3 linked regions of the Macaca fascicularis genome follow. The protein of the gene in region 1 purifies or fractionates together with the protein of each later gene. This does not show direct contact. Links are inferred from orthologs where the notes say so. Each region holds a gene or a part of one and is shown in the gene's direction. Other genes may lie near its edges. The genes, in order: ERBB4, WWOX and signal transducer and activator of transcription 5A.

Evidence for each region.
Region 2: the proteins of ERBB4 (region 1) and WWOX purify together in Homo sapiens (affinity purification with western blotting; 4 studies listed by BioGRID). This does not show direct contact. The link is inferred for Macaca fascicularis from reciprocal best matches to the Homo sapiens genes ERBB4 and WWOX.
Region 3: the proteins of ERBB4 (region 1) and signal transducer and activator of transcription 5A purify together in Homo sapiens (affinity purification with western blotting; 3 studies listed by BioGRID, with this or other methods). This does not show direct contact. The link is inferred for Macaca fascicularis from reciprocal best matches to the Homo sapiens genes ERBB4 and STAT5A.

What each region holds. Positions count from the first base shown.
Region 1 is NC_088386.1:107,515,691-107,526,211, reverse strand, and holds part of ERBB4 (receptor tyrosine-protein kinase erbB-4), read left to right. Parts: intron 1-2,119; coding exon 2,120-2,193; intron 2,194-3,311; coding exon 3,312-3,402; intron 3,403-5,360; coding exon 5,361-5,560; intron 5,561-10,521. UniProt on the Homo sapiens protein: Tyrosine-protein kinase that plays an essential role as cell surface receptor for neuregulins and EGF family members and regulates development of the heart, the central nervous system and the mammary gland, gene transcription, cell proliferation, differentiation, migration and apoptosis.
Region 2 is NC_088394.1:74,014,023-74,024,543, forward strand, and holds part of WWOX (WW domain-containing oxidoreductase), read left to right. Parts: intron 1-5,256; coding exon 5,257-5,321; intron 5,322-6,623; coding exon 6,624-6,681; intron 6,682-10,150; coding exon 10,151-10,329; intron 10,330-10,521. UniProt on the Homo sapiens protein: Putative oxidoreductase. Acts as a tumor suppressor and plays a role in apoptosis. Required for normal bone development. May function synergistically with p53/TP53 to control genotoxic stress-induced cell death.
Region 3 is NC_088390.1:63,346,117-63,356,637, forward strand, and holds part of signal transducer and activator of transcription 5A, read left to right. Parts: intron 1-2,387; coding exon 2,388-2,518; intron 2,519-2,747; coding exon 2,748-2,899; intron 2,900-3,333; coding exon 3,334-3,489; intron 3,490-3,894; coding exon 3,895-4,074; intron 4,075-6,965; coding exon 6,966-7,053; intron 7,054-7,153; coding exon 7,154-7,276; intron 7,277-8,242; coding exon 8,243-8,335; intron 8,336-8,822; coding exon 8,823-9,029; intron 9,030-9,316; coding exon of another isoform or gene 9,317-9,409; exon of another isoform or gene 9,410-9,545; intron 9,546-10,521. UniProt on the Homo sapiens protein: Carries out a dual function: signal transduction and activation of transcription. Mediates cellular responses to the cytokine KITLG/SCF and other growth factors. Mediates cellular responses to ERBB4.

The sequences.
Region 1 (10,521 bases):
GGAAGAGAAATAATAAGCTTGATGATAAAACAAAGTGATTTCAGTGGAAATGAAAATATGTTTCTCTGTCTTTCTCCTGAGCTTTATTTTGGATCACCAAACACAATGACAGGATAGACATAACGTTCTTTTGCATGGCTCTGAATTTAGTTAGGAAAGTTAATTGTTTTAAAGTACTATGTATTTCAAGTGGCTACAGGATGCAACTCCCAAGACATACTTTGAAGTCAGTGAGTGGAATTCTGTCAACTTATTTTACAAGAGTCCTGAATCTCTAAAATTAACTGTATAAAATATCTGTGGTCTGTTGGGCTTCATGTTAACATTCCGGAATTCATTTCATTCCCGGTAACATAGAAGTGTTCTCAGTAAAGGTTTGGACTGACCCCGTTATTGTGTGCTTGCCCTGAATTTTGAGTCTTTCTCAATAAAGGCAGAATATTTGATTATATGACCTGAGCTGTTCTATACACTGCTTTTCATCAAAGAACAAATGTTGAAAGCTCATTCTTGTACTGCAGAGCTGATATTTCCTCTGTATACAAAATTCTTTGCACATTAAAAAGTGAAGGCAACAGTTTTCCTACATGATACACTTCATTTTTGGCTTCATATTCATCGAAAGCATAGTTATTTGTTCCATATATCTTTGCTTGTAAATAGAGAAAGTTTGCTAGAACGTTTAATTGAGACTTTAAGCTTTTGTGAGATATTAATATGACATTGAGAAAATTTTAATCAATAGTTTATGTGTGAATTATAGGGAAACACATTTTTAGTGTTTCTCCAACCTCAGCAATATCCAGTATTTGAGCCTAGTATAAAGTACTCCATGTTAAACTAGCAGTACATTGTATTGATTGCACTTCTTGGTTTGAAACAGTAATTTAATCAAGCAAATTTTTTTAAAGATGTGGAATGGTTTGCAGTAGAGAAGAATATGCTGATGAACCAAGTTCAGAAAGGCAGTATAAGGTGGTTCCAGAGATCAAGTTGCTGGAACTGATACTCTTTTCAAGACTTGAATGCTGGCATGAATAAATGCCAATGGATTCAGACACAAATCCTCAGGACATAGGCCATATGCCTATCTGTTTGTCAGGCGATTATGGAGCATGTTGATTGATAGCCCTATTAAGGCTACTTAGAGTGGATCACTAGTGGTTATTCACCCTACCGAAAAGGAATGTTCTCAGAGACCGGTAAAAGAAGAGATATCTACAGTAAGAATAAAATTTGTTTGACTGCTACAGGTAGATACATACTTCTAAAAAAGCCTAAGATCACTGTTCTTAGAAGTTTTGACCTATCTTGAAGAAGCAGCCAATGGATAAAATTTAATCTCTCTGTAAATGATATATGTTAATATGAGGTGTCTACCTAGGATAGCACGAAATGTCTTTTAATGTAATAAAATTTTAAAACTTACTGTGGATTTCTTAAAAATAAAAAACAAAACTGGAAGTCTTACTTGAATTCATATACATGGAAGCGAATAGTTCCTGTGTTATAAACGTGAATATGAATAAGCTAGATAGGAACAAGATGGTTCTAAGTAATCTGTATGAAGAGATACTTTTGGACAATGTCATAAATATTATGAAAATTCATGAGTAGATAAATGTAGAGCTACAGAAGAAAAAAATGTCAATTTTATCTGTGCTTGTTTCTATCCTTCTTATGAATTCCAGGTACTATTAGCAATGTATACTTCTTTGAGGAGCAGAAATACCAGTTGTTCTCACTATAATATAATTTATTTCTAGACTATATATATTCTTCCAAATCAATAATAAACTTTTAAAACAAAGCAATGTCAAGTGGTTCATACATGAACTTGCTATCTTTGAGAATTTCATCAGAATAGTTCAATCTGAATAATCTTATAGATCTAGAATAGGCTTTGATGAAAATCTCATATTTTGTGACATCAAAAATGTCCACAAAACACCTACTATTCCTCCTCCACATCTAGCACAGATTAATTTAGACATGCATTGATAACGCCCCTATTGCTAATTAAAATTAAATTAGAATAAAATAACTACTGTCACATTTCTCATATTTTCACTCCTTTATTAAAATTTAAATTTGGCTATGTTTCTTCTTGATTTTCTAGGGACCCTTACAATGCAATTGAAGCCATAGACCCAGAGAAACTGAATGTCTTTCGGACAGTCAGAGAGATAACAGGTAATTTTTTAAACTGCAACTGTTGTGCTATGAACAACGTAATTTTAAAAAAAAATTGCATAAGATTGGCTGGGCACAGTGGCTCACTCCTGTAATCCCAGCACTTTGAGAAGTCAAGGCGGGTGGATCACGAGATCAGGAGATTGAGACCATCCTGGCCAACATGGTGAAACCCTGTCTCTACTAAAAATACAAAAATTAGCTGGGTGTGGTGGTGCGTGCCTGTAATCCCAGCCACTCAGGAGGCTGAGGCAGGAAAATTGCTTGAACCCAGGAGGTGGAGATTGCAGTGAGCCAAGATCACGCCGCTGCACTCCACCCTGGCAATAGAGTGAGACTCCATCACAAAATAACAACAAAAAAGAAAACAAAACAGAAAAAGTTACATAAGATTGGAATCAGCAACTAATTTTCAAAGCAGATTTTAGTTTGTAAAAACTCGTATTATTTTTAAAGATGGTATTAGCTTTTATGCATATTTTGAAAGCCCATGGAATTACAAAATGAGTGTCTTTGAAAGTCTGACATTACAACTCTTGCAAGTGTCAACTGATCTTTGAACCCATGTTTTTCTGTTTACTTCTTCAAAAGAAGTACTCTTGAACATGGATAACATGTAGCATTTATTTAGCACATATATATTAAGCCTGTAATGTGTTCAACATTGTCTTAGTGGGTAATATGGGGCCCATAGATATGAATCAGACATGGACTTACCGTAAAATAATGCAAAATCTAATGAGAAAGGTTAGATACGTATATAAATGTCTTAGAATATAAGGGTGACACTGATATCGTAAGTATACAGATGAAGAGGTAAAAGATTTCGGAGAAATTGAAACTATATTTTTCTCTTCATCTAGTTAGACTACATTCTTGCATTTATAAGAATAAATCAAATTGAGTCATTGAAACCTTTCAACATATAAAGTTTTACCGGGTAAGAGACTCAATCTTGGAAGAATACATACGTAATAGAGTGCTTCAAAAATAGAAATGTTCACTACTCCTTTCTCACTTCCCACCTTTCAACATGTTTTCACCATATTTCAAGAAAAATCAGCACTAATACTAAGACAATGATATTCTGATTTATTTTTACTACTCTTCACTTGTAGGTTTCCTGAACATACAGTCATGGCCGCCAAACATGACTGATTTCAGTGTTTTTTCTAACCTAGTGACCATTGGTGGAAGAGTACTCTATAGGTAAGTGGATATGTTTAAAGTTGCAGGTCTCACAGATTTCAAGAGGAGCATCGTCTGGGCATTAAGTCAAAACCATCACTCTTATTGATTTACTGATTCTGGGGAAATCATGCTTCCATCCTTATTTCCAAAGATAAGCTCATTGAAAATACCTCCAATGATGGTATGAAGTATTACAGAATACATAGTTTGATTTTTTCAATTGTCTGTCACTCAAAATAATATTAGTATTTTGCAAGTATGGGGTGCAAGATATGAACAATTAATGAAACTTTCTTTTTTATCAGATGTTATCATAACTAAAAGATAAGAGTTGTGTGACTTGGTAATGGCTCGGGTGTATAGGATACACATGCTGTTGTGCCAGGAGATTCTGTTCTTGTCTCTGGTGCTATAATTTGAACTACACATCACAGGGCTGATGTTTTAGGAACAGGTCCGCCATTCTACATGTTCTGCTGGTTAATAAATGGACAAGAAAATTCAGGTTTAGAAGGACATTGATAAAATTATAATGTCAATAATTTAAATTCACATTATAAGAGTAAATAACAGGTTTCTTCAATGTCATCTGTATGACGTTCTTATTTATGAGCAATTAAAAGTCAATTTACATAAGAATTTTTAAAATTTGTTTACTTAAGTTCAAAATATCTCCAAAATTAATATCATCATTGATTTTATAATAATGTTTTATAAAAAGTACATTGAATTTCACTATTAAAATTTAAAAGTTATATTTATAAGAGGTTTTAAAAATGTAAAGGAAAAAGGAGCTTAATAAGAAAGGATAGTCAAGAGATACAATCTATTAAAGTGCTATATGTAAACAACTTTTACTATCCATTGAATAAATATTATAAGCCAATCGAGACATTGTGCTAACATTGTAATCAACAACTCAAGATAGTTATGATGGGGACAAAATTTGAGAGAAAGAGCTGCATCTTGGTCTTTATCATTGAGCATACACACACACAAACACACACACACACACACATTCTGACAACCATGGAAGATAAATCTAAATATTAACAGCAAAGAATATTTAAAACTAAAAATAAAAGTGGAAAGCATTGATCTCCAAAATGTAAAATAATATTCATTAACTGATTGAAATATGGGAAGCATGTTTATGCTTTAGAGAATGGAAAAGTAAATAAGTAAAAAAAGAAAATAAGTAAAAAAGTAAATAATTACAATAATGTGGATTATATTAAAATAAAAGTAGTTTCCTTGATTTTTCAATCGTCAGTCACTCAAAGTAATATTAGTATTTTCCAAGCATGGAGTGCATGATGTGAGCAATTCTAAACAGGGTAGTTGTTATTTAACTTTTAGAGACCTTTTCCCCAGATACCCAAGGCATCTGAGTTTGTTTTCTTTTTCTAATTTTAGTTTAGTTTTATTCTTTACTTTTTACCGTCTCCTAACCTTACTTACACATGCCTCAATTATTACAGTTCTGGTGTCTGAGGTATTAAAGTAAAGCTAAATACCTATAATCATTTTCTGAAATTATTTAGACATACTCTGAAAGTATGTCTATATGTCTAAATCTATTACATAAAAAGGAATTAATGTCTTACTTTGAGTAGATGAACGATTGTTTTATAAACACTTCTTTAGTGTTAATACAGGATTTCATCATTGAACAATGTAAAGTTAAGGCTTGGGGTGGGAAGATAGTGAGCAGATATTTCAGTGGTAAATATATACACAGAGATACACTGCCAATATGCATAACTGTAAGCAATGGAAATTTTACTTTGGGAGGTCAAATTGTTACTTTAAAAACTGTATATAGCATGTAAAAACAAATATCATTCAAAACACAGAGTTACTGATTCAGTCTCTATTTACACTCCATTAACATTCTTTTAAAAATAAAATATGACAGCCTTATTTTACTCCAGAATGTGTCTCATGGTTCCATTTTCTCCCTTCCCCCTCCTTAGTGGCCTCTCCTTGCTTATCCTCAAGCAACAGGGCATCACCTCTCTACAGTTCCAGTCCCTGAAGGAAATCAGCGCAGGAAACATCTATATTACTGACAATAGCAACTTGTGTTATTATCATACCATTAACTGGACAACACTCTTCAGCACAATCAACCAAAGAATAGTTATCCGGGACAATAGAAAAGCTGAAAACTGTAGTAAGTACATTACTCAGACATTTAAAACATAGAAACTTAATTTTTTTCCCATTCTTTTTTGGACCAAAAAATTAAAAATAACATCAGGTCAGAATTGTTGCTTTGTTATCCCAACCCTTAAAAAGGAAGGTAGTTATTACAATTGCCAATATGATATAAAATAATCAGAGTAAGTGACTTTCTACAACATATGGCATATTTATTTGCAAGATGTCTTACCTAATCTTAAGAACGCTCCTGTGGAGATTTGAATTCAGTATGTCTAAATGGAACCTGGGTATTTAAATCATTGGCATCCCAGGTAATTTCAAGGATCCAGTCAATGTGTGGAGATCCACCCTATTGAATTCTCTGTTTGTTGTTTGGTTTCAGTGAGTTTCATAACAGAATAACAGAGTTTTGCCATTTAGAGGTGGTGAGAAAAATGAAGTTGTATTTTTCTAACATGTGTAAAAACTACTATTCAAGAAGTACATTGTTCAAGATGTTTTGTTGTTCAGAAAGAAAGTTTACTTTATTAATGCATTTATGTAGACATGTATTTATCATTTTTTCATCTGTTTTGCTACTTATTGATTCATTTAATAATTTCTCATTTACTCTGAAGCAAATAATGCTTTTGTAGGCACATGACTATGCCATTCCTATCTAATGCACTGATATTCCAATGATTTATACTTCATTCTTCCCTGTTTTTCTACTGAATACTACTCTTTCCTACATCCTATGAGTGCCACTATTATGAGTACAATCATCAGACTTATTATGGTAAATACTGAATAAAAAGACTCCGCACTCAAATGATCTGTTTGCAAATGAATATTCTTGTTGTGGGCACAAAATCAATCCGTTCTAAAAGGCAGAACCCTAGAAAATTCTGCTCTCAGAGTATTTTCTTACTTCTTTGATCTCTCCATTAAAACAATCATAAGGGTATACATGAGTAATGATTGAGTTTGTGTGTGTGTGTGTGTGTGTGTGTGTGTGAATAAATAGAAGACTTTTTTAAAAGTTATAAACTCTTAAGAGGCCAACATAATTTGTTTATTGAGTTTTCAGTGAATTAATTGATTTATTAAGATCCCATCTTGTTCCAGAAATAATTTAAGACAGCTCAGTCTACTAATCTTCATAAAATATAATTTATGATTAATTCTCTTATATTTTAGCTCTTTTCGATCCTTAAAAATATTTCGAAATGAAGGAGATCTATCCCAATATGAGATTCCTGCTAAGAGTGAACTTAAGTTCTTACTCATTCTTCTGTTCCACATAGAATCACGAAATATAAAATCTAATTGTGTATCAAAATATGCATGTTATATTGAATGATATTCATTATTTCATTTGGCCTATGTTATTTCCTTGGTTTTACACATTACTGATTTCTAAAAGAAAATTTGCTTTGCTTTTTCCCTAATGCTTAAGCTTATCCCACATCACAATATGTGTGTGTATATGCCCCAAAGTAGATGATTCATGGCAATAAGATAGATTCTTCTTCAATACCAATTGATAAATGTTTCCCTAAATCAGGGTTATACTCTTGTTTCCTTCGACATCCTTAAAAAAATTAGTACCTCTATCTTTCAAAAATTTAACTATGAATTCAAAATAATGTAAAGAAATATATAAAAGAATCAGAAAAAAACATTCTTCCTCTTTGATGCACTTAATCAGTTTACAAATCCTACAAAAATTCATATTTCATATATCTTTCTATACTTGAAAAGCAAATGGGAAGAAGAAAATGCAAAAAATAAATGTAGGGAAACAAGATGAGAAAAAGGGATATTTCAGTAAATTATATAATGTTATTTTACACTTCTTTAAAACTTCTAAACATTTCAAATGACCAAAAGGGAGTGAACAATAATAATAATGATAATAACTAAAATATAAAATGTGTTTAAACTTTCAGTGTTATGCTTCTTGGATTGAGGTTAACTACTTTTCAGACCATAGACATATTTTTTTTTGTTCTGTGCACAAGAATTACTTTGCAGTTTGGGGAAAAAAATGAAGCAGTTAGGAGAAACATAGTTTTGTGGTGCTATAGTATCAAGCATATCATTTTTCATTTTAAACATATTAGAATAAATATATTTTGCGTGGAATTCATTTATCAAAATTTGGACTTCAGACTCACAGCATACTGGATCCATAAAAATTCCATATGCCTCCATTTTCAGAAATATAATTACCCTGTAAACTTGACCTCAGAGATGCTGCTGATGTTTACGACCCCCAGTACTATTTGTAAATGGGAATGTCTAAATGCTTGCTTCATTTTAAATGCACTGTAAATGTTTCCTTTTTGGATATTCCATCTTGGTATATCATACACACACAAGATGTACATGAGCATACACATATGTTCACTACAACACCTAAACATATATGCATATACAGAGTGGATGTCTGTATGCTGTTCCATATACAACACACATGTATATACACACACCTAGTAAACATATCCATGCATACACACCCTTACTTGCCCACTTACATTTACACACAGTTACCGTGAAATACTCTGACCTAAATCTAAGAGTTGGCTTATGAACTTAATGAAAAGGCAGTCCTTCATTTGTAATGGTGTTTTTTGGAGTTCAGCATGATTTAAAACAGTAATGACAATATAAAAAAAGGTTAACTCATCTATAAAGGCTAACAGTGGCTAGAGCAATCTTACTCTTTTAAGTCAAAAATTTCAAAGCTGATTTGAAGAGATTGAGATTGAGGGAACTCTGGGACATGAAAAGCTAGAATATTTTGGACCTCTGTCATTTATGTGGTTATGATAGTAACCAAATTGCAGTGTTAGGTGGAAGAAGTTTTAGAGTAGATTTATAAAAGCATTTGAAGTTTCTTAAAATATTTAAGCATAAATTTTTAATACTGAAATATAAACAGTGTAGAGATAAATATTACACCAGCCCTTCAGAATCCGAGTTATATTTGAACTTATATATCTCAAGTCTCAAGTCTTTAAAATATTTGTACAGATACTGTTAAACTCAACATGAAATTAAATTCATTATTGATTTTCAAAATAAAAATATTTTTATTTTTCCAATTATAATAGTACCTTTTTCATTATTCAAAATAAAACCAATCAAAAATATATAAAAATATTTTTAAAACTATATTATATATAATTCTTGGTGAATATATTTTTCATATATATAGATAAGGATAGTGAAATATATATTTTCATATATAAATGGGATCATACCATTTCTATTTAAATACCATTCAGTCATCTATGTCTTATACTTAATATAGTATAAGCATTAGTATAAGCATCTCACATTCAATAGATAGAGCTCTTCCTTATTCTTTTTTTTTTTTTTTTTTTTTTTTGAGATGGAGTCTCACTCTTGTTGCCCAGGCTGGAGTGCAATGGCACGATCTTGGCCCACCACAACCTTTGCCTCCCGGGTTCAAGCGATTCTCCTGCCTCAGCCTCCTGAGTAACTGAGATTACAGGCATGCAACACCACACCTGGCTAATTTTGTATTTTAGTTTCTTCATGTTGGTTAGGCTGGTCTCGAACTCCTGACCTCAGCTGGTCCACCCACCTCGGCCTCCCAAAGTGCTGGGATTACAGGTGTAAGCCACCATGCCTGGCCTTCCTCATTCCTTTTTAAAGCTATTTATAGAAGTATTCTGGACCAGTACCATATTAATTGTATTTTAAATTATTTTCCATTTTTATATTATCACTGCTGCCATGATGTGTATCTAGTTTATGAAACATTTTGTAGTGTACAATTATTTCCTGTGGCTAAAACCTTAGATGTAGAATTTCTCTGTAAATGAGGCTACATAAAAATTTTCTCACTAATTTCTCTGTCATCTTCTGAAAATACTAAATCAATTAACCTTGTTGCAAACACTGTGTGATAGTAATATTTTCCACTACTCTTTAAATCACTAGATATTATCTATGGTTTTAAATTTCAGTGATCTAAAGGAAGAAAATAAGTATTTTATATTTACATGATTAATTCATCTTTTTTTATCTTGTAAATTGCTTTATATGTGAACTTTGTTCATTTTTAATTTGGGGGTTGTTCTTTTTCTCCTAAATTTGAAAAAACTATTTACAAATTAAATTTATTAAATTTTGTTCCTTAAATGTGTTGGGAATAAGTTCCTCTCTTACTGGTAATTTGAATAATTTGTCTTTTGATAATCCAATGTTTATCAAACCATATTTTTATATAGTTAAGTGGTTAGATTGTTCTTTTCCTTTTTAATTGTTTGATCTTGTATTTTTAGATAATTCTTTTCATCTAGTACTTTAAAAAAATATTGAAATTTTTAACACATCTTGACGTTTTGGCATAGCGTTTTTTAAAAATTCCTGATTGCGATGTGGATCCAAAATAATTTATTAAACAACCCATCTCTCCTTATTGACTTTAGCTAATCAGCTAACAAATCAGCTAAAAGGTGCCAGACTCTATCTCTCAACCTAGGTATATTGTTTAATTTAGTTATTACAACCACCCTGTAAAGTATAATCATCTGCATTTGCAGATGAGTATACATTTATTAAGACAGTTAAATAATATTTCCAGTTTTGGCGCTACTAAAATCCTATTAAGGACTTCAACCCAATGCCTGTCTGACTTCGAAGTCTAGGCCCTTAATTTAACCGTGATTCCTCTCAAAATAAAGAAAATGTTGGCTGGGCATGGTGGCTCATGCCTGTAATCCCAGCACTTTGGGAGGCAGAGGTGGGCAGATCGCCTGAGGTCAGGAGTTCGAGACCAGCCTGGCCAATATGGTGAAACCCCGTCTCTACTAAAAATACAAAAATTAGCCAGGTGTTGTGATGCACACCTGTAATCCCACCTACTCGGGAGGCTGAGGCAGGAGAATCACTTGAATCCAGGAGATGGAGGTTGTGGTGAGCCAAGATCACACCATTGTACTTCAGCCTGGGCAG
Region 2 (10,521 bases), on another chromosome or scaffold:
GCTACTTGGCCTTTCTCCCATCTGCTTTCTTCCTGTGTGTCCCATGGCCAGGGCGCTCGGGTGCGTGCATGGTTTCCAAAAGCTCTTCTTCCAGCCCCCCGACTACTGTCTTAGGTCTCAAGCTGGCCTCTCGGACTCTATTTTTTTTTTTTTAATTTAATTTAAAATTCTGGGACACATGTGCAGGATGTGCCATGGTGGCTTGCTGCACCTGTCAACCCATCACCTAGGCATTCGGCCCCGCATGCATTAGCTATTTATTGTTTACACCAGCTGAGATGCCAGGGCTTGGCTGGCTCCCAGCTGGAGGACTCATCTCTCTGGACCTTCTGTCCATCCCCGCCAGCCCTCAGTTCTCTGGGTGTCAGGGCAGAAAGGCTGAAGTTCTTTGGGTGTTAGGTTAGGATGCCTCTGATGCGTCCCAACCCCACCTTCCCTTGATCTCCCCTGATCTGTGAGCATCCTGGCCCTTTTCTGTTTACATTTTTGTGCTCGTTCCAACCCCTTTTCCTTCCTGACTCTGGAAGTGACACTGGTTTTTCTCTTGGGGTTGGGGAGACTTTGCGGATGTGCTTTCTAGGAGGCTGCTTTTGGAGTCATTTCTTTTCCATACTGTTGCCCCTCGTGTAGCAGGGCCACGGCCAGGGAGAGAGGCTGTAGCTCCCACTGAGACCTCGGGGTCTGGTGGAGCCTGGTCTTGTGTGGCTGCTGTTGGCCTCTCCTGCTTTCCCACCTGCCCCATGGTTCACTTGTATGTCTCAGAGGCACACGCGTCTTAGGGCTCCAAAGCCCACCAGGCTGGGCTCCCAGGGATGGGGTCGGGGGAGGCCAGAGACCTGAGAGTGCTGGTGGGACCTTTCTTCTACCCCTCTCCCCTAACAGTCTCAGAGCAGCCCCTTCGTGGGACATGGGGAGGGAGGGACAAGGTCTCAGTGTCAGAGCCGTCCTTGTTTGCCCTTCCCTGTCCTCCTTATGAAGCTCAGGCCTTTTGGCAGTCAGAGGCCTCCATGTCTCCTGCGTCCACAGGGCTGGCTGTCCTCACCGTCAACTCTAGATCTCCTTGTTAACTTACACTGTGTTCAGAACACAGACACACACCCTGTAGGCGGGATGTGGTGGGAGGCCAAGGTGGGAGGATTGCTTGAGCCCAGAAGCTCGAGGCTGCAGTGGGCTATGGTTGTGTCACTGTACTCTAGCCTGGGCCACAGAATGAGACCCTGTTTAAAAAAAAAATAAATAAATAACAGAAAACACCCGATATGTGGAAGTGTGGTATTCACGTAATATGATGTTCACTTAATTTTGAATCCTTTGGTTTAAGTTTAGGTTACTATTAATCATCTCTTTAAATGGCAAGCTTATTGAAAAAATAAAAAATCAAAATTGCCTTTTATTTAAAGGAGAATAGGAGAACACTTAGGGGACATGTGTTCTAATTTTCTCTTCATTAAAAAGTCATTTAAGGTTATAATTAAAAAGAACACCTTTTAATTAATTTTTATATTTATGAAAAATAAGTCTTCTGCTGAAAGGTACAGTTCTTAGTTCTTCCTGTGTTAACTCTATAACCTCAAGAAGTAGGTGCTGTTATTGTCCCCATCTAAACTGATGAGGAAACTGAGGCATGGGATTAAATGACTTCTTCAAGGGCAGAGTGGCTGGCAAATGGGAGACCCAGAAAACGGGCAGTCAGGCTCCAGAATCTTCACGACCAACCAAATTACTGTCTCTGCTTCAGCTGGTTCTGAGTTCTTCCCTAGGGATGGTTGTGTTCTGCAGGGGACGGTTGGCAGTGTCTGGAGACGCTTTCTGTTGCCACAGCTATGGTACTGGGGTATTGGCATCTGATGGGCAGAGGCCAGTGGTGCCCAAGACAACCCCACAACAGAGAATGATGTGATCTGGGTGCAGTGGCACATGCCTGGATTCCCCACACTTTGGGACGCTGAGGCAGGTGGATCAGTTGAGGTCAGGAGTTCGAGACCTGCCTGGCCAACATGATGAAACCCCATCTCTGCTAAAAATACAAAAATTATCCAGGCATGGTGGCAGGTGCCTGAAATCCTAGCTACTCAGGCTGAGGCAGGAGAATTGCTTGAACTTGGGAGGCAGAGGTTGCGGTGAATTGAGATTGCACCACTGTACTCCAGCCTGGGCGACAGAGTGAGACCGTGTCTCAAAAAAAAAAAAAAAAAAAGATTCAGCCTCAAGTGTCACCAGCAGTGAGGACAAGAAACCCTGGTTTAGGCATGTTCTGTGAAAGTCAAGAACATAGGTTGACAGAGTTTGTTTTGTTTTCTAAACGTCTTTCTGAATAAATAAATAAATATTCTGAGTGAGTTTTGTAGCTCCTTTGGAAAGTATTCATTCTGTATGTTTACATTTGCGCACCTGCTGTGGGCCAGGCATGCAGCTACATGTCTGAGGGCCCAGCTTCACCTACTAAGGGCCGGGAGGCTCTTTCTGCGCCAGCCTGCCTACTGTCAAGGCTCAGCTTCCACTGTTAAGGGTCATTTCATGGATTTTTTTTTTTTTTTTTTTACGTTGAGTCTTGCTTTTCCACCCAGGCTGGACTGCAGTGGTGTGATTTTGGCTCACTGCAACCTCCACTTCCCATGTTCAGGAAATTCTCATGCCTCAGCCACTCAAGTAGCTGCGATTACAGGCGTGTGCTACCATGTCTGTCTAATTTTTGTATTTTTAGTAGAGATGGGCTTTTGCCATGTTGACCAGGCTGTCTTGAAATCCTAGCCTCAAGTGGTCCGTCCGCCTCGGCCTCCCACAATGCTGGGATTACAGGCGTGAGCCACCACGCCCAGCCACTTTGTGGATTGTTGAGGGTAGAGTTTTTTGGAGCCAGGCTTCAAGCGCGTTTGATGTGTGCCTATGAGATGAAGACTACTTTTAATGGCAGGCAAGGAAAATGCAACTCCGTCTCTTAACTTTCTTGAAAAAGCGTGAGACAGCTCTGCAAGGGGCAGGAAGGTTTCGCGTTGTTGCCAATGCTTGGTGTATCTGATTGCTGTTCCCGTCGCTTGGGAAGGAGAAGCAGGAGTTGGTATGCCAGTATTCCCTCTGTGCCAGCGGAGAGTGGATGATCCTTACCAGAGAGTCAGAGCTGCTTTTTTTTTTGAGATGGAGTTTTCTCTTGTTGCCCAGGCTGTAGTGCAATGGCGCGGTCTCCGCCTCCCGAGTGCAAGCGATTCTCCTGCCTCAGCCTACCGAGTAGCTGGGATTACAAGCATGCGCCCCCACACCCGGCTAATTTTGTATTTTTAGTAGAGACACGGTTTCTCCATGTTGGTCAGGCTGATCGTGGACTCTCGACCTTGGGTGATCCGCCTGCCTTACCCTCCCGAAGTGCTGGGATTACAGGCGTGAGTCACCGTACCCGGCCATAGAGCTGCTTTTTTTGCAAGTGCTATGGGATGGTGGTTGATGTACAAAGTAGGAGTTTGTCTTTGCTACTGATACCGTAGCTGGTACAAGGATTTAATTCTCCAAGCACTGTCACAGGTGTCGCGTGTCTCACCTTCTCAGCAGCTCTGTGAGGCGGCAGCGCTGAGGACACTGCCTGGACTCAGCTAGCACGGGTTGCTCAGTCTTTAGCATGCTGAGTGAGGCGTTCCTGCACCATGACAGGGACCCAGCTGCCAAGACTTTGTCAAGACAGACCAGAAGCCAGCAGTTCATAAAAAGACCTTGCCTGCAAGTTGTAGAATTTTTTTTAGAAAATTCATGCTCTCTGTATTTATTTTCTTTAAAGTAATTGACAGGGAAAGAATGTTCATGTCCTATCACCTAGATGTTGCTGATTTAAAAATATAACTGTCTGTGTTGGCTTGAGTAGGTAAACTTTTAGGGAACCCAGGCTACCCTTTGAATGCCTCTTGTAGCACCTGGCTTTTTCCCTGATGAAGTAATTGTATGTTTTCCTGGATTCCTTCTTACCTGGTGACACGTGTTTCTAGTTATTGGCCTACTATTTTAATTATAACTTTGGGTGGTGGTCTGAGATGAAATGTTAAGTTTGACGCAAAAATCAGACTAGTTTATGTAACTGATTTGTTCACAGTAACAGCTTACATTTCCCAGAGCTTTTTGTATGCCAGGTGCTATGCGAAACCCTGGGTATACAATATTGTTACATAGCAGCCCCCAAGATGAGTGCTAGGATTATTTCCATTTTGCAGATGAGGGAATGGGGATTAAGGCATGGGGTCACTTGACCAAAGATGCACAGCGCACAGCTAGGTGACTTATGGGGCTGTCTTACTCCATCTCTTAACTACCTCTTGGGACCAGTTAGGAACCAGTGCTTAATGAAACACTTTGAAGTTACATCTGCAGAAAGAGTAAACATTTTAGCTGGACAAGTGGCTTCTAGTCCCAGCCACTGAAGAGGCTGAAATAGGAGGGTCACTTGAGTCCAGGAGTTCCAGTCCTGCCTGGGCAACATAGTGAGACCCTGATTCTTTAAAAAGAAATACAAATAAATAAGTAAATATTTTAAGAGATTATATACATTAGATATTACGAATTTTGTCACTACATCCTGGAATAAAACTAAAACAAATACAGAGCAAAATGTCTCTAGATTTATTTATTTATTTATTTATTTATTTGAGACAGAGTCTTGCTCTGTCGTCACCAGGCTGGAGTGCAGCGGTGTGATCTAGGCTCACTGCAACCTCTGCCTCCCTGGTTCAAGTGATTCGCCTGCCTCAACCTCCCAAGTAGCTGGGACTACAGGTGTGTGCCACTATGCCCACCTAATTTTTGTATTTTTGGTAGAGATGAGGTTTCACCATGTTGGCCAGGATGGTCTCGATCTCCTGACCTCGTGATCTGCTCCCCTAGGGCTCCCAAAGTGCTGGGATTACAGCGTGAGCCACCGCGCCCAACTGCCTCTAGATACTTTGAGTGATTCAGCAAGCCTCCTAAAGTTGACCCCATAGCTGGGGTCACAGTCCTCTTTCTTCTTCTTCCCTCACTTCCTCCTTATATCTGGCTTCTAAAGGCAGGCTGTCGGGAAATTTCTACAGGGCTGCTGCTGCTTCTAACTTGAGGAATTTGTGATATAAACAGTGACATTTATATTCTGCCCATGCCGTCTCTGAATGTCTGTTTTTATTACTCTTAAGAGAGAGTATTATCTGGGAGAGAAAAAAAGGTAATACAATTGATTACTTTTTAGAAGAGTTAATTTTTATTTATTACTGTGGATTTTTTTTTTTTTTTTTTTTTTTTTAACAGTCACACCGAGGAGAAGACTCAGTGGGAACATCCAAAAACTGGAAAAAGAAAACGAGTGGCAGGAGGTTTGTATGTTGTTGTCAAAGGATCTTGGATTGAAGCATGAAGTAGATGGGGAAAATGTCACCGGCAGAGAGGTGACAGGTTATGGTGTGTTTTTGGGAGGGCTCTCTGGTAGAGAAAACCGAACTCCCATTCTGAGGAGCTTATGGGATTTGGCAGAAGAAGAAGATGAGATCGTAGGGTGGAGTGAGGATGATTTCGTACTGGTCTTAAAGTACCAAAATGGCCGGACATGGTGGCTCATGCCTGTAATCCCAGCACTTTGGGAGGCCGAGGCGGGTGGATCACCTGAGGTCAGGAGTTTGAGACCAGCCTGGCCAATATGTTGAAACCGCATCTCTTCTAAAAATACAAAAATTAGCTGGGTATGGTAGCGCGCACCTGTAATTCCAGCTACTTCGGAGGCTGAGGAATAGGACGCTCTCAAACCCAGGAGGCGGAGGTTTCAGTGAGCCAAGATCATACCACTGCGCTCCAGCCTCAGTGATAGAGTGAGATGCTGTCTGAAAAATAGCAAAAACAACAGAAAACACCATCAAAATAATTGAGGCCTTTGATTCACAGTGTATGATGTTTTCCTGTAGTTACAGTGTTTATAAATTTGTTCTTGGCTGTAGTATGGAATTAAATAGGTAAGTATTTGGGAATTTCGTAAAGATTACCATGACTTCTAGGTGATTCTGAGCTAGTGTGTGATCCACGGAATAGAAGTATAAGAAGGGGCCAAGCAAGGTGACTTGTGCCTATGATCCCAGCAGTTTCAGAGGCAGAGATGGGAGGATCACTTATGCCCGGGAATTTGAGATGAGCCTGGACAACATAGTGAGACCTCGTCTCAAAAAAAAGTATGAGAAAGTTCCTACCCTTAAGAGGTTTAAGGTCTAGTTGAAGTGTCAGTGTGTACACATGAGAAAAAATGGCAGTGCCCTCTAATATCATACGAGGCATCACAAGTCAGCATATGAATGACATTGAGTGCCTGCCCTGCATGTAGATATGTTCTGTGAGCTCTCATTCAAGGGAGACTTCCCATTCATTGGTGCAATCAGTAAGGTTTATAGAGTGAAGAGGCATAAAATAGGTTTTCTTCAAAGCAAGAGGCAAAAATGTGGAGCCCAGGTGGGATTAGGGGCCTTCTGCAGCTGCCACAATTGGAACATGTGACCGAAGCCAGTTGATGTGACAGCTGTTGGGTGGGAGGGACAGGCTTGGGGGCGGAGCCTGGAGGGCTCCTCCCCTTCCTGACCCGGGAACGGTCTTTACTTCTCCCTGGCACCTGTAGACCTGTCTTTCTTGTGTTTCAGATTTGCCATACGGATGGGAACAAGAAACTGATGAGAACGGACAAGTGTTTTTTGTTGAGTAAGTATCTACAAAGAAACCACTCTCAGCTATTTTGCTTTTTAATAGGCATTTTTAATTATAAAACTAATAGTAACTGTAGAAAAATACAAAGTATAATAGTATGAATCTGTCATCTTAGCAGAAGTAACTACTTTTAACATCTCTGGATTTATTCTTCTATTTTCCATGCACATGCGTCCTTAAAAAAAAAGTAAAGAGGCTTGATACAGCGGCTCATGCCTGTAATCCCAGCACTTTGGGAGGCCGAAGTGGATGGATCACGAGGTCAAGAGATCGAGACCATTCTGGCCAACATGGCGAAACCTCATCTCTACTAAAAATACAAAAATTAGCTAGCTGGGTGTGGTGGCACGCGCCTGTAGTCCCACCTACTTGGGAGGGTGAGGCAGGAGAATCACTTGAACCTGGGAGGCAGAGGTTGCAGTGAGTTGAGATTGTGCCACTGCGCTCCAGCCTGGACGACAGGATGAGACTCCATCTCAAAAAAAAAAAAAAAAAGATTGCACTGTGTGGGCTGTTTAGTAACCTGCTTTTTCCACATAATATATTGTGAACATTTTCTTGTATCCTTTTGTGTTTTTCAAAAAGATGCTATTTAGCAGCTCTAGAGTTATTATTTTGTACAGATATAATTTATCAAATTGCCTATTGGACATTAATGCTAAATTCCTTTTATTGAGAACCTATAATTATAAATAATGTGTTGAGTGAACATCCTTATCTGTAAGACTTTTTCACCTCTCTGATTGTGTCTTCAGGATAAATTCCAGTATCACGCAGCAATAGTAACCGCCTGTCCAACATACAGCTGAGCCAGGCCTGATTCTAATCATCTTGTGTCTGTAGCATTAGGTCATTCGATCCCCACGGTGCCCTGAGACGTAGTATTGTTATTATCGCTGGCTTACTGCCAGTGACACAGACTTGAGGGGGTAGGTGACTTGGTAAGGATTCTACAGTAAAGAAGTAGCACAGCCAGGCTTTGAGCCCAGCACCTGCTCCAGGGACTGTATTCTTGACCACTGTAGTTAAGAGGGGAATGAATGTTTCACGACTGCTGACATTTAAATTAGAAGCTTGAATAGTCTTTGACAGGATTAGGATTGGTTGGTTAATAGAAGTTGATTTAAGCAGGATTTTTTGTTTTTTTGAGTTATGAATGTAACATAAACGTTTTAGTGTTTTGATTCAAGTACACCAACATTTAGGGGTTGGGCCAGCCCTGCTCTTTGAGTTTGAGTTCGCTGCAAGGATCCAGTGTTGTCTTCCTTCCCCAAGCACACCTGTAACATAACATCTACAATTTCTACTTTCACCTTAGGGTTGAGCAAACACAGTATTTTCAAAGAATCTGATTGCTACATCATCTGGGACTTTTATGGTTTTTTCCTAGCATTTTCACTGCAGTTGATTAAACCACAAATTTTTTTTAGCTGCTTGTCTTTGAGGCTCTCCAAAGCATTCAACCACATTTTCATAGATAACCAGTGACACTGTTTTTCACCTCCCATGTTATCAGTTCCTGTAATGCTAGCTTGCTAAATAATGTAGTTACAGTAACAAGTTCAAATGACATACGTGTTTTTTGAGCAAACCTGGTGAACTTTTGGTGCACAACTAATATTGAGAGCAAATGGGCCAAGGCTTGCTTGAGAGAAGTCTCTCAGGCCGCCATAGGCAGCCCCAGGACAAGGCTGCCTAGCAGTTGGATAGGTGGGAGTGCCTGTTATTTGTTAAAAGGCTTTTCCCCTAACTTGTGAAAGTTTTTTCCCCCTCAGTTAATTGAGGATATCAACGCATTGGTTATATGTTGGAAACGTTTTTTTTTCCCAAGCTTTCTTTTGTGTGTGTGTGTGTGTGTGTGTTTTGTTTTTTTTTGTTTTCAAACTGGGTCTTGCTGTGTTATCCAGGGCTGACGTACAGTGACAGTAACAGCTTGCTGCGGCCTCAACCTCCTGGACTCAAGTGAGCCTCCTGCCTCAGCCTCCTGAGGAGGCCCATACCACTGTGCCCAACTAATTTTTAAATACCTTTTTTTGTAGAGACTGAGGCTCAGTATGTTGCCTAGGCTGGTCTTGAACTTCTGGCCTCCAGTGATCCTCCTGCTTTGACTTCTCAAAGCATTGGGATTACAGGCATGAGCCACCACACCTGGCCGAATGTCTTAAATTATGTAGTCAGATCAGTTTTCTCCTGTGCGCTGTGTGCCTTTGCGTTCACGCTTGGAAAGTTACTCCCTGAAATGGGTATTAATCAACCAAGAGCAGCAGTTCTCAGGCATGGTTCCTGGACCAGCAGCATTAATATCACCTGGGAATTCATTAAAAATGTACCTTCCCGGGCCCCCACCCCAGACCTACTGAACCAGCACTGGGGTGGGGCTGGCAGTCTGCGCTCTAATAAGGCCTTCAGGGGATTCTGATGCTCCCTAGCTTGAGAGCCACCTCGCTAGAGCAGGGGCTGTCTACTTTGTCAGTAAAGGGCTAGATAATATGTTTTAGGATTTGGAGGCCATAGGGTTTCTGTTGCAGTGATTCAACTCTGCCTTTGTATTGCTAAAGCAGCTATACACAATATACCAGTGATGGCCATTGTTGTGTTCCAATAAAACTTTATTTACAAAAACAGGCAGTGGGCCAGATTTGGCCAGCTTCTGGTCTAATCTAGAGGAGTAAGCAAGGGCTCACGTGATCATCCTCCCACCTCAGCCTCCCGAGTAGCTGGGACTACAGGCATGTGCTGTCACACTCAAAATTTTGTTTAGTTTTTGTAGAGACGAAGTCTCACTATGTTGCCCAGGCTGGTCTTGAACTCCAGGGCTCAAGTGATTCTCTTGCCTTGGCCTCCCAAATTGCTGAGATTACAGGTGTGAGCCACTGTGCCCAGCCTCCAGTATATTTTAATACTGTTTCTACAAGATTTAAATCAGTTCCAAATCAAAATGAGTGCTCGTAGAAGGTATGAGTGCAGAGCCTTCAAATGAAAATCGTTAGAATTTTATTAGTCAGCAGGTTTCTTATTTACAACTAAGACTTCCATTTTGAGTTTTCTACTTCTCTACGTCTTTAGGCCCTTGCACAGGGCTGAGAGATTTAATTGAAATCTACTGAAAAGAGTGGCTGGCAGATCTTAACAGCTGCATTTACATGAATTTGATAAAAACCCAAAGCCTTCTCAAGAAGCCTTTTTTGAGATCTAAGGATACATGGCAATAGTTATTGTATGTTACAGCATATGTTCTAGGCAGTTCTGAAGGAAAGGATTTGATGACTATGTTTTTTGGCAGAAATGTGATCCTTCTGGAGGCCGGAAGTTATTTTCAGTGGGCCCCAGTTCTTTTCAGGTTTAAGGAATAAGCGTTTTGGGCTATGAAAACTGGGGTTTGCCTAAAGTGTAAGATTGTGTTATATTTATAAATGCCTGTGTTCGTTGCTGTGGGTTCACTGCTTGCTCCTTTTCTGGGCAGCCATATCAACAAAAGAACCACCTACGTAGACCCAAGACTGGCATTTACAGTGGATGATAATCCAACAAAGCCAACCACCCAGCAGAGATACGACGGCAGCACCACTGCCATGGAAATTCTCCAGGGCCGGGATTTCACTGGCAAAGTGGTTGTGGTCACTGGAGCTAATTCAGGAATAGGTAGGCTGTTCACTTATTTATTTATCTTTGGGACTGCTATAATGAAATCCACTTAGATCTCACTATAATGGAATTTTGTATAGTGGTTCTCTGATTTAAACATGAGTTTTATCCTTTTCAGCTATCATTTCATTAACATCACCACCTCTTTTTAAATGCTAATGTTGTCGTGGAAGCCTGTGTAGGGGCTGA
Region 3 (10,521 bases), on another chromosome or scaffold:
CTTTGCATAGGAAGGCTGGGCCCAGGTGTTGGGATCACCACCACCCTCCCTGTGGCTGGGCAGGATTCCCGTGGTAGCCGTGCAGACGCCTCGGATCTGTCCGTGCCTGGATGATCCTCTTCCTGCTCGATACCTGCAGTGAGATTGGAGCCATATTTCTGAGTTCTAGCTCTGGGCTGTTCGTGGCTACATAGAGTTGCTTTTGTCTGTCCCAGCTTGTGCATCCCATGGGGCAGGGCTGGGGTCAGGGTGACATGACCCTCAGGGGCCAGCCAGGAGCTCGACTGAGACATGCGATGCATCTTCTGACTCAGCTCAAGCAAGGACGCTGGGCTGTTGAGAAGGAGATGGGAAGGGATTAATAGTCCCAGGGTGGTGGAGAGGGGCTGTTGTTGGGAGGGTGGGGTGGGCCTGCTGGTGGTGGCTGTAACTGTGGACATGTCTAGTTTCTTAGGCTGGGTTATTGATACACAGGTGCTCCTGTGTTCCATGTTCCCTGTGTCTTACATATTTCATAATGGATACTTTTTGTTTTTTTTTTTTTTTTGAGATGCAGTCTTGCTTCTCCTTGGCTGGAATGCAGTGGTGCTCTCGGCTCACTGCAACCTTTACCCCCCAGGTTCAAGCAATTCTCCTGCCTGGGCCTCCTAAGTAGTTGGGATTACAGGCATGTGCCACCATGCCCAGCTAATTTTTGTATTTTTAGTAGAGACAGGGTCTTGCCATGTTGGCCAGGCTGGTCTCGAACTCTTGACCTCAAGTGATCGCCTGCCTCAGCCTCCCAAAGTGCTGGGATTACATGCTTGAGCCACCACACCTGGCCACATGATGGATACTTTTTTTTTTTGAGACAGAGTCTCGCTTGTGTCGCCCAGGCTGGAGTGCAGTGGCCCGATCTCAGCTCACTGCAAGCTCCACCTCCCGGGTTCACACCATTCTCCTGCCTCAGCCTCCCTAGTAGCTGGGGCTACAGGTGCCCGCCACCACACCGGGTAATTTTTTGTATTTTTAGTAGAGACGGGGTTTCACCATGTTAGCCAGGATGGTCTCAATCTCCTGACCTCGTGATCTGCCCGCCTCGGCCTCCCAAAGTGCTGGGATTACAGGCGTGAGCCACCGCTCCCGGCCCCATGATGGATACTTTTTTTTTTTTTTTTTTTGAGACGGAGTCTTGCTCTGCCGCCCAGGCTGGGGTGCAGTGGCCGGATCTCAGCTCACTGCAAGCTCCGCCTCCCAGGTTTACACCATTCTCCTGCCTCAGCCTCCCGAGTAGCTGGGACTACAGGCGCCCGCCACCTCACCCGGCTACTTTGTTGTATTTTTTAGTAGAGACGGGGTTTCACCGTGTTAGCCAGGATGGTCTCGATCTCCTGACCTCGTGATCCGCCTGTCTCGGCTTCCCAAAGTGCTGGGATTACAGGCGTGAGCCACCGCGCCCGGCCAATGGATACTTTTTAAAAGGTAGTGAGGCCTGACTTACTCCCTGTCCCACCATCAATGACTCCTCACAGATGGTGTGGAGAAAAGCCACCTCCCTCCGGCCTCCCTTTCCTGAGAGAATCTTGGTGGCTCTGCATCCCCAGTGGCCCTGGACATGCTCTCCTCTGCTGTCTGTCTGTCTGTCTCCCCTGGTTGGTCGGCTGGGCTCACAGTGAGCCAACCTGGACAAACATGCCGGGCCCCTTCCGGCCCCTCGAGAATCTCATCCTCCCCTGAGGGCGGACTGCTGTGCTCAGGAACGAGACAGAGTGGCCGGGGCCGGGGGCCCCTGAGGAGGCCTTGCTGCGGGAGGGATGGGGCCGAGCAACTGCTTGTCTTGTCACCTCTTCTCTCTGTCCTGTTCCCCATTAACCAAGAAGGACGAACCTCACACAGAGCTCACCCATGCCAGGAAGCTTTCTGGCATCTTCCATGTCCTCATGTATTTAATCTTCAAGCGCCCCACTGAGGCAGGTACTGAGATTCTCCTGTTTTACACGTGGGGGAGCCGAAGCACAGAAAGGAAAGTGATTTGCCCAGGTTCACCCACAGTCAAGGGCACACTTGCACCCCAGACAGCCTAGACCCATGCCGGGCTGTGAGAAGAGGGCTGGCAGCTCTGTGTGGCAGGCAGGCAGGAGACAGGCGGGCCTCTTCCCCAGCTGCCCCAGCACCCGTGTGCCCCCAGAGGGGACGCTCAGAGTCAGGAGGCCAGGGAGCAGGGCCCAGAGGCACCTCCTGAGGCGCCCATTCATCTTGCCCCCGCTGTCTGTCAGGAACTCCGACTTGCCCTTGATGCAGTATCTGAGCCTGGGAGGGTCTCGCTCCAGAACGGGTGAGTGCGCTTCCCTGGGCCTCCTGTTGGACACTGGGAGGTGATAGTCATGGTTTCCTATCCCTTCCTCTAGCTCAGTTTGGCCCACTGGCCCAGCTGAGCCCCCAGGAGCGTCTGAGCCGGGAGACGGCCCTCCGGCAGAAGCAGGTGTCCCTGGAGACGTGGCTGCAGCGCGAGGCACAGACGCTGCAGCAGTACCGCGTGGTGAGTGGGGTCCTGGCCTTCTCCTGGGCGTGGGTGCCATGAAGTCAGTCTCTGGCGACCCAAGGGAGGGTTAGGACCCAGATGAGAGCAGAACCTGGGGAGGCAGGAAGCATTTTTTCCTGGGGGCCATGCGAGGCAGAGCAGCTCGGACCTGCCCTGCCATTTCCCAGCGAGGCCCCGCAGTGTTCTCTGGGAGCCCAGAAGGGGCTGCTGTCCTCCCTTCCCTCAGGAGCTGGCCGAGAAGCACCAGAAGACCCTGCAGCTGCTGCGGAAGCAGCAGACCATCATCCTAGATGACGAGCTGATCCAGTGGAAGCGGCGGCAGCAGCTGGCGGGGAACGGCGGGCCCCCCGAGGGCAGCCTGGACGTGCTACAGTCCTGGTAATGGTGTGGGGCGGCCAGAGGGCAGGGCAGGGGGGGCTGGTGGGGACCCTGGCTGCTTCTGCCTCCTGTGCTGGCTCCTGCAGCAGGCCCCCTCCATCCTGGGACAGCTCTAGTTTCTCCAGGGGGCCTGGTTCCTGAATCAGACTTTGGTCCCCCATCCTGTGCACCTCCCCCAGGAAGGGGGCTGCTGTCCTGGGGGTGGGAGAGAGCTCGGGGGTGTGGGGTGATGCTCGGGCTGTTTGGGCCTAGTCAGGGTCGCCCCTCCTGTGTACATTTCTAATTCTGGGAGGCAGGGAGCTCTGCTCTTCCCATGGGTGGGAGGTGTGGTGAAAGCACAGAGCCTTCCTGCGGGAGGGGGAACTGTGTCTTGGGGCCTGGCGTCTGTGCGAAGAAGCCATTGTCCTCCTGTTGGCCTTGGGGCTCCCGTGCAGGTGTGAGAAGTTGGCTGAGATCATCTGGCAGAACCGGCAGCAGATCCGCAGGGCTGAGCACCTCTGCCAGCAGCTGCCCATCCCTGGCCCAGTGGAGAAGATGCTGGCTGAGGTCAACGCCACCATCACGGACATCATCTCAGCCCTGGTGACCAGGTGACTGCTGCCTGTTGGCCATGCCCAGGAGCTTGGGGCAGCTCCAGACTGCGTGTGGGGGGCCGCAGGTGCCTTCCAGACCAGCAGATTCGCTTTGTGCCTGTCATCCCTCCCCACTCCGTCTCCAGTTGCTGTGGCTGCTGGGTGCCGCCCTTGCCCGGTTTCTCCTGTGGACACTGCAAGAGATGCCCTTGGGCCGCAGCCCATGCCAGCTGCTGTGTTATGTCACTCCCCTTTCCATCCTTTCCCTGGAATCTCATGGCTTCCCCAGGAACAGAGGCTGTGCCCGTGCTTTTCACCTCCTGAGCCCCGCGGGAGGCAGACCCACCCCCACCACAGGAGGACTGAGAGCCCTTTCCCCTGCGCCAACCCCTCATCGTACGTCTGTCCCTGTGTCCCCTGCAGCACATTCATCATTGAGAAGCAGCCTCCTCAGGTCCTGAAGACCCAGACCAAGTTTGCAGCCACTGTGCGCCTGCTGGTGGGCGGGAAGCTGAACGTGCACATGAACCCGCCCCAGGTGAAGGCCACCATCATCAGTGAGCAGCAGGCCAAGTCTCTGCTCAAGAACGAGAACACCCGCAAGTAATTGTGCCTCTCCCTTCCCCTGCCCAGACTTAGGTGTGGGGGACCTGCACCCCCTCTCTTTGTCCTTGCATCCAGCCATGTCTTGTCCCCTAGTTTACCATGTTGCCCAGGCTGGTCTCGAACTCCTGGACTCATGCAGTCTTCCCATCTCAGCCTCCCAAAGTGCTGCGTTGACAGGCGTGAGCCACCACGCCCAGCCGAGTATCAGTTCTTTACCCTGGGGATGGCGTGGCTGCCAGAGAGCTGAGGCTCACTGCCACTGCCCAGCATTGTGAGAGACTGTTATACCACTTTCTCCTGAAAGTGTGTTGCTTCACACCATTGTAAATTCAATCATGTCAAACCATCATTAAATCTGGACAGATGGTACACTGCCCTCCTCCTACTCAGAGACCATCCCGGTTCCTGCAACAAGCATGGTGCTAGTCTAGATGCGGTGGCTCACCCCTGTAATCCCAGCACTTTGGGAGGCCAAGGTGGGAGGATCACTTGAGCCCAAAAGTTTGAATTGGACAACACAGGGAGACCCTTATCTCTACAAAAAATTTTAAAATTAGCTGGGCATGGTGGTGCACGCACCTGTAGTCCCAGCTGTTCAGGAGGCTGAGGTGGTAGGATCGCTTGAGCCTGGGAATTTGATACTACAGTGAGGTATGATTGCGCCATGGCATTCTAGCCTGGGCAACAGAGTGAGACCCTGTCTCGAAGAAAATCACACAAAGTATGGTGTTGCAGCTGTGTTCTAGAACCTGTGCTACGCACCGAGGACGAAACTGTGATCCCAACAGAATTGGGCTGTCTCCTTGCTCAGCGCCTTGACCAGCAGAGCAGGCAACAGATGCTGGGAAATGCCTGATGGTGTAGCCATGTGGCAGGGGGACGTGTAGGGCACTGAGAAAGGGGGTCTTGATGCAGGAGTAAAGAAATGACAGTCTTAGGCTCCTGGTGGAATTAGAGGTAGCTAGTGATAGGGAGGGAAGTAGCAGAGAGAGAGGACTTTCAGGCAGAGCCCATGTGCCGCGTCCTGAGGGAAGAGTACAGAGAGGCTGTGTGTGGCAGAGTGGGGAGGTAGTGTCCAGTGTCAGGGCAGGCCACCCACAACATATGCAGGGGGTGAATGAATGAGTGAGTGAATGAGTGATGTGGAAGACATGGCCCCATCCCCTGTCATCCAGTTAAAAATGTTTACTGAGGCTGGGCGAGGTGACTCACGCCTATAATCCCAGCACTTTGGGAAGTGGAGGCGGGTAGATCACTTGAGGCCTGGAGTTCGAGACCAGCCTGGCCAACTAGACATGGTGAACCCTGTCTCTACTAAAATACAAAAATTAGCCGGGCTTGGTGACATACACCTGTAGCTCCAGCTACTTGGACCTCTAGTCCCAACTACCAACTACTCTGAGGCAAGAAAATCACTTGAACCCAGGAGGCAGAGGTGGCAATGAGCCAAGATTGTGCCACTGCACTCCAGCCTGAGCGACAAAGCGAGGCTCTGTTTCAAAAAAAAGAAGGCCGGGCACAGTGGCTCATGCCTGTAATTCCAGCACTTTGGGAGGCCGAGGCGGGCAGATCATGAGGTCAGGAGTTCATAACCTGCCTGACCAACATGGTGAAACCCCGTCTCTACTAAAAATATAAAAATTAGCCCAGCGTGGTGGTGGACGCCTGTAATCCTAGCTACTTGGGAGGCTGAGGTAGGAGAATTGCTCGAACCCAGGAAGTGGAGGTTGCAGTGAGCCAAGATCGTACCATTGCACTCCAGCCTGGGCAACAAGAGCAAGACTCTGTCTCAAAACAAAACAAAAAAACAAAAACAAAAAAACTTTACTGATTTCCTACCATGTGATCTGGGGTGAAGATGAAGACAAATGATCTCACTGCCTTTGAGCTTGCACTGCAGCTGGGGAGACTGATGAAAATACACTTTAAAAGATCAGGCAGGGCCAACCCAATGACAAGACAGTGGAAAAGAAGTTAAGACAGAGCAATCTAGGCTGGGCGCGGTGGCTCACGCCTGTAATCCCAGCACTTTGGGAGGCCAAGGTGGGAGGATCATTTGAGGTCAGGAGTTCGAAACCAGCGTGGGTAACGTGGCAAAACCCAATCTCAACTAAAAATACAAAAATTAGCCAGGTGTGGTTGCACGTGCCTGTAATCCCAGCTATTTGGGAGGCTGAGGCAGTAGAATCACTTGAACCTGGGAGGTGGAGGTTGCAGTGAGCCGAGATTGCACCATTGCACTCCAGCCCGGGCAAAAAGAGCAAAGCTCTGTCTCCAAAAAGAGAAGAAAGAGCAATCTGCTAGCATTGGAGATGTGTTAAAGGCGGGGGTGAGGGAAGGTCAGCCTGGTAAGCTTCACCAGATAAGTGGTCCAGGAAGGCCTTTCTGGGGAGCTATCTGGGCTGAGACCTGAAGGAGGAGAAGGCTAAGAGTGTTTGGGGTGACAGGAAGAGCAAGGGCCAATGTCCAAGCCTGGCATGTTCAGCAGACAGCCAGGGCCAATGGGGCTTGCGTGTCCTGAGTGAGGGGAGAGGAGTTCAGTGAGGCCAGGGAGGTGGGTAGGTGTTAAACATAAGGATACTCATAGACTGTGGTTGTGGTTTTTATCTTAAGTGCATTAGAAGCTACTGGAAGTCCCCAAAGCCCCTCACATCAATCTTTGTATCTGAGGAATTTCTAATAATAGATCCAGACCTCACCATTGGAGACCTTGCCTTGGGTGCTGGGCACCAGGTTGATGGAGAAGTCAACCCAGAAAGATGCCAAGAAACACTCTTGGGGGATGGGGGCAGGGCTGAACTGAGTGAAGACCCCAGCCCAAGGTGTGGACAGGACCATGCTCCTGGCCTGGGGCCTGTGTAGAGCTGGGACTCCCCTCTCCATTGCAGCGAGTGCAGTGGTGAGATCCTGAACAACTGCTGCGTGATGGAGTACCACCAAGCCACGGGCACCCTCAGCGCCCACTTCAGGAACATGGTGAGGACAGGGCCCACCCTCAGAGGGCAGGTCTGCCCAGAGCCGAGTCCTTGTAAGCAGCCGCAGTCTCCCTGTTCCCCTGTCACCTCCCACCCTGCAGTCACTGAAGAGGATCAAGCGTGCTGACCGGCGGGGTGCAGAGTCCGTGACAGAGGAGAAGTTCACAGTCCTGTTTGAGTCTCAGTTCAGTGTTGGCAGCAATGAGCTTGTGTTCCAAGTGAAGGTGAGGCCCCCAGCCCTCCTGCCCCAACTGCTGCAGTTCACCCAGGAGGTGGAGGGGCCTGCCTTGGGACTCCTGGCTGCATTGCCACCGGACAGCCTGCTTTGACTCTGTGGGTACCTGTTTGCTAGGTTATAATCTGGGACTAACCCAGACAATTTAGGCAATGGCCTAAGAAGAATTGGTTGTAGTTTTTGTTTGTTTGCTTGTGCCTACGTTTTGTTGGGAGGGGTTTGTGTTTGGAACTGTGGGTGAGGAAAGTGGGTTGGGACCAGGTGTGGTGGCTCTCACCTGTAATTCCAGCATTTTGGGAGGCAGAAGAGGGAGGATTGCTTGAGTCCAGGAGTTCAAGATTAGCCTGGGCAGCATAGTGAGAACCTGTATCTACAAAAAAAAAAAAAAAAAAAAAAAAAAGTCAGGCATGGTGGCATGCACCTATAGTTCCAGCTATTCTGGAGGCTGAGGCAGGAGGATCCCTTGAGCCCAGGAGGTCAAGGCTGCAGTGAGCTGTGATTGCACCATTGCCCTCCAGTCTGGATGACAGAGCGACACCCTGTCTCAAGAAAAAATAAAGTGGATTGCGGCCACACGTGGTGGCTCATGCCTGTAATCCCAGCACTTTGGGATGCCAAGGCAGGTGGATCACCTGAGGTCGGGGGTTTAAGACCAGCCAGACCAACATGGAAAAACCCTGTCTGTACTAAAGATACAAAATTAGCCAGGTGTGGTGACGCATGCCTGTAATCCCAGCTACATGAGAAGCTGAGGCAGGAGAATCGCTTGAACCTGGGAGGCAGAGGTTGTGGTGAGCCGAGACTGCACCATTGCACTCCAGCCTGGGCAACAAGAGTGAAACAATGGATAAAAAAAAAAAAAAAAAGCATTAAAAAAAAAGATGGAGCACATTGCTTAAGCAGAGGGCACATGGTGGTCACGCCCCATCAACTTGGGTTCCTCTGACTCCTGTAGACTCTCTCTCTACCTGTGGTCGTCATCGTCCATGGCAGCCAGGACCACAATGCCACGGCCACCGTGCTGTGGGACAACGCCTTTGCTGAGCCGGTGAGTTCCCGTGGGAGCCCTACCCCAGCCCCCCCACCCCCCGGGCCCTAGGACTTGCCTGGGGTCAGCCCCACCCCAGGGCCAGCCCAGAGGTGAGGTGAGGCCAGAAGGGCTGGGGTGCTGGGCGCCTGCCTTCGGCCATGGCCTTGGTACTCTGTCTGGGTTCCAAGTTCCTGGACTGGGGTCTGTGAGGTCTGTGAGTTTGGTCTTTGGATCCTGGTCTGGGATCCTCCTTTGGCAGATGGCTTGGGTCCTTGCTGTCTGTCCTCTGTGCCCCCACCCCCTGCATCAGCTTTCTTCCCTGCAGGCTGGGGTTGCAGCGCAAGCTAGTGTATAAAAGCCACCGCATTTCTTACCCTTGCATTTGTGTCACCTTTCTGGATCTGTCTCAGTCTCCCCTGTCTCTTAGTGTCTGTGTATCTCGTGTGTGTGTGAACATTTCCAACTCCCTTAATCTACCTTTTCCCCTCTCTTCTCTCCCTCTCAGGGCAGGGTGCCATTTGCCGTGCCTGACAAAGTGCTGTGGCCACAGCTGTGTGAGGCGCTCAACATGAAATTCAAGGCCGAAGTGCAGAGCAACCGGGGCCTGACCAAGGAGAACCTTGTGTTCCTGGCGCAGAAACTGTTCAACAACAGCAGCAGCCACCTGGAGGACTACAGCGGCCTGTCCGTGTCCTGGTCCCAGTTCAACAGGGTAGGGGCCCGGCCACCAGCCGTCCACCAGGGCCTACGGGGGTCTGTCGCTCCTCTGCCTCACAGGTTACTGCCTGGTCTAGCACCCCACTCTCCACCCCCAACTACCCTCTCCTACAACCAGGAGAGATGGGGGCCCCTAGCCTCAGGAAATGCAGGCAGGGGCTATAGGAATTGTGCTCAGTGATGAAGCCAGAGTGAGATGACGGAGGGCCCCAGGGCTGGGAGTCGGGATCCTTGGGTTCTGGGCCTAGATGTGTTTGCTAATTTTCTCTTTTTTTTTCACAGACAGAGTCTCACTCTGTCACCCAGGCTGGAGTGCTTACTGCAACCTCTGCCTTCTGGATTCAAGTGCTTCTTGTGCCTCAGCCTCCTGAGTAGCTGGAATTATAGGCGTCCACCACTATGCTGGGCTAATTTTTGTATTTTTAGTAGAGACGGGGTTTCACCATGTTGGCCAGACTGGTCTCGAACTCCTGACCTCAGGTGATCCGCCCACCTTGGCCTCCCAAAGTGCTGGGATTACAGGCGTGAGCCACCACGCCTATGGCTCTGGCCCTGCTTCTGCCTCTTTCCTCACTAATTTTTGAAGACCCATCCATTCTCTGTGCCTCAGTTTCCCCACCTATAAAATGAGGGGATGACTTTGGAGGCCCCATCCAGCCTGGATTATTTTCTTTTTTTTTTTTTTTTTTTTTTTTTGAGACGGAGTCTCACGCTGTTGCCCAGGCTGGAGTGCAGTGGTGCGATCTCGGCTCACTGCAAGCTCCGCCTCCCGGGTTCCCGCCATTCTCCTGCCTCAGCCTCCTGAGTAGCTGGGACTACAGGCGCCCGCCACCGCGCCCGGCTAATTTTTTGTATTTTTAGTAGAGACGGGGTTTCACTGTGGTCTCGATCTCCTGACCTTGTGATCCGCCCGCCTCGGCCTCCCAAAGTGCTGGGATTACAGGCTTGAGCCACCGCGCCCGGCCGGATTATTTTCTTTTCTTTTTTTTTTTTTTTTTTTGAGACGAGTCTCGCTCTGTCACCCAGGCTGGAGTGCGGCGGCTGGATCTCAGCTCACTGCAAGCTCCACCTCCCGGGTTCACGCCATTCTCCTGCCTCAGCCTCCCGAGTAGCTGGGACTACAGGCGCCCGCCACCTCGCCTGGCTAGTTTTTTTTTTTTTTTTTTTTTTGTATTTTTTTAGTAGAGACGAGGTTTCACCGTGTTAGCCAGGATGGTCGTGATCTCCTGACCTCGTGATCCGCCCGTCTCAGCCTCCCAAAGTGGTGGGATTACAGGCTTGAGCCACCGCGCCCGGGCAGCCTGGAGTATTTTCTACACCTCTTACTCCCACCCATGGGCTAGTCTTGGACCCTAGTGTCTTAGAAGCAAGTTTCCTCTCTGGGTCCCTAGGGTACAAGTTGGGGGCTGTGTCACTTTATGGTCTGCTGGAGTGTGGTGGCAAGCAGGGGTGAAGAACTGGGAGAGGGCTGGGTGGGAGCAGGAGGG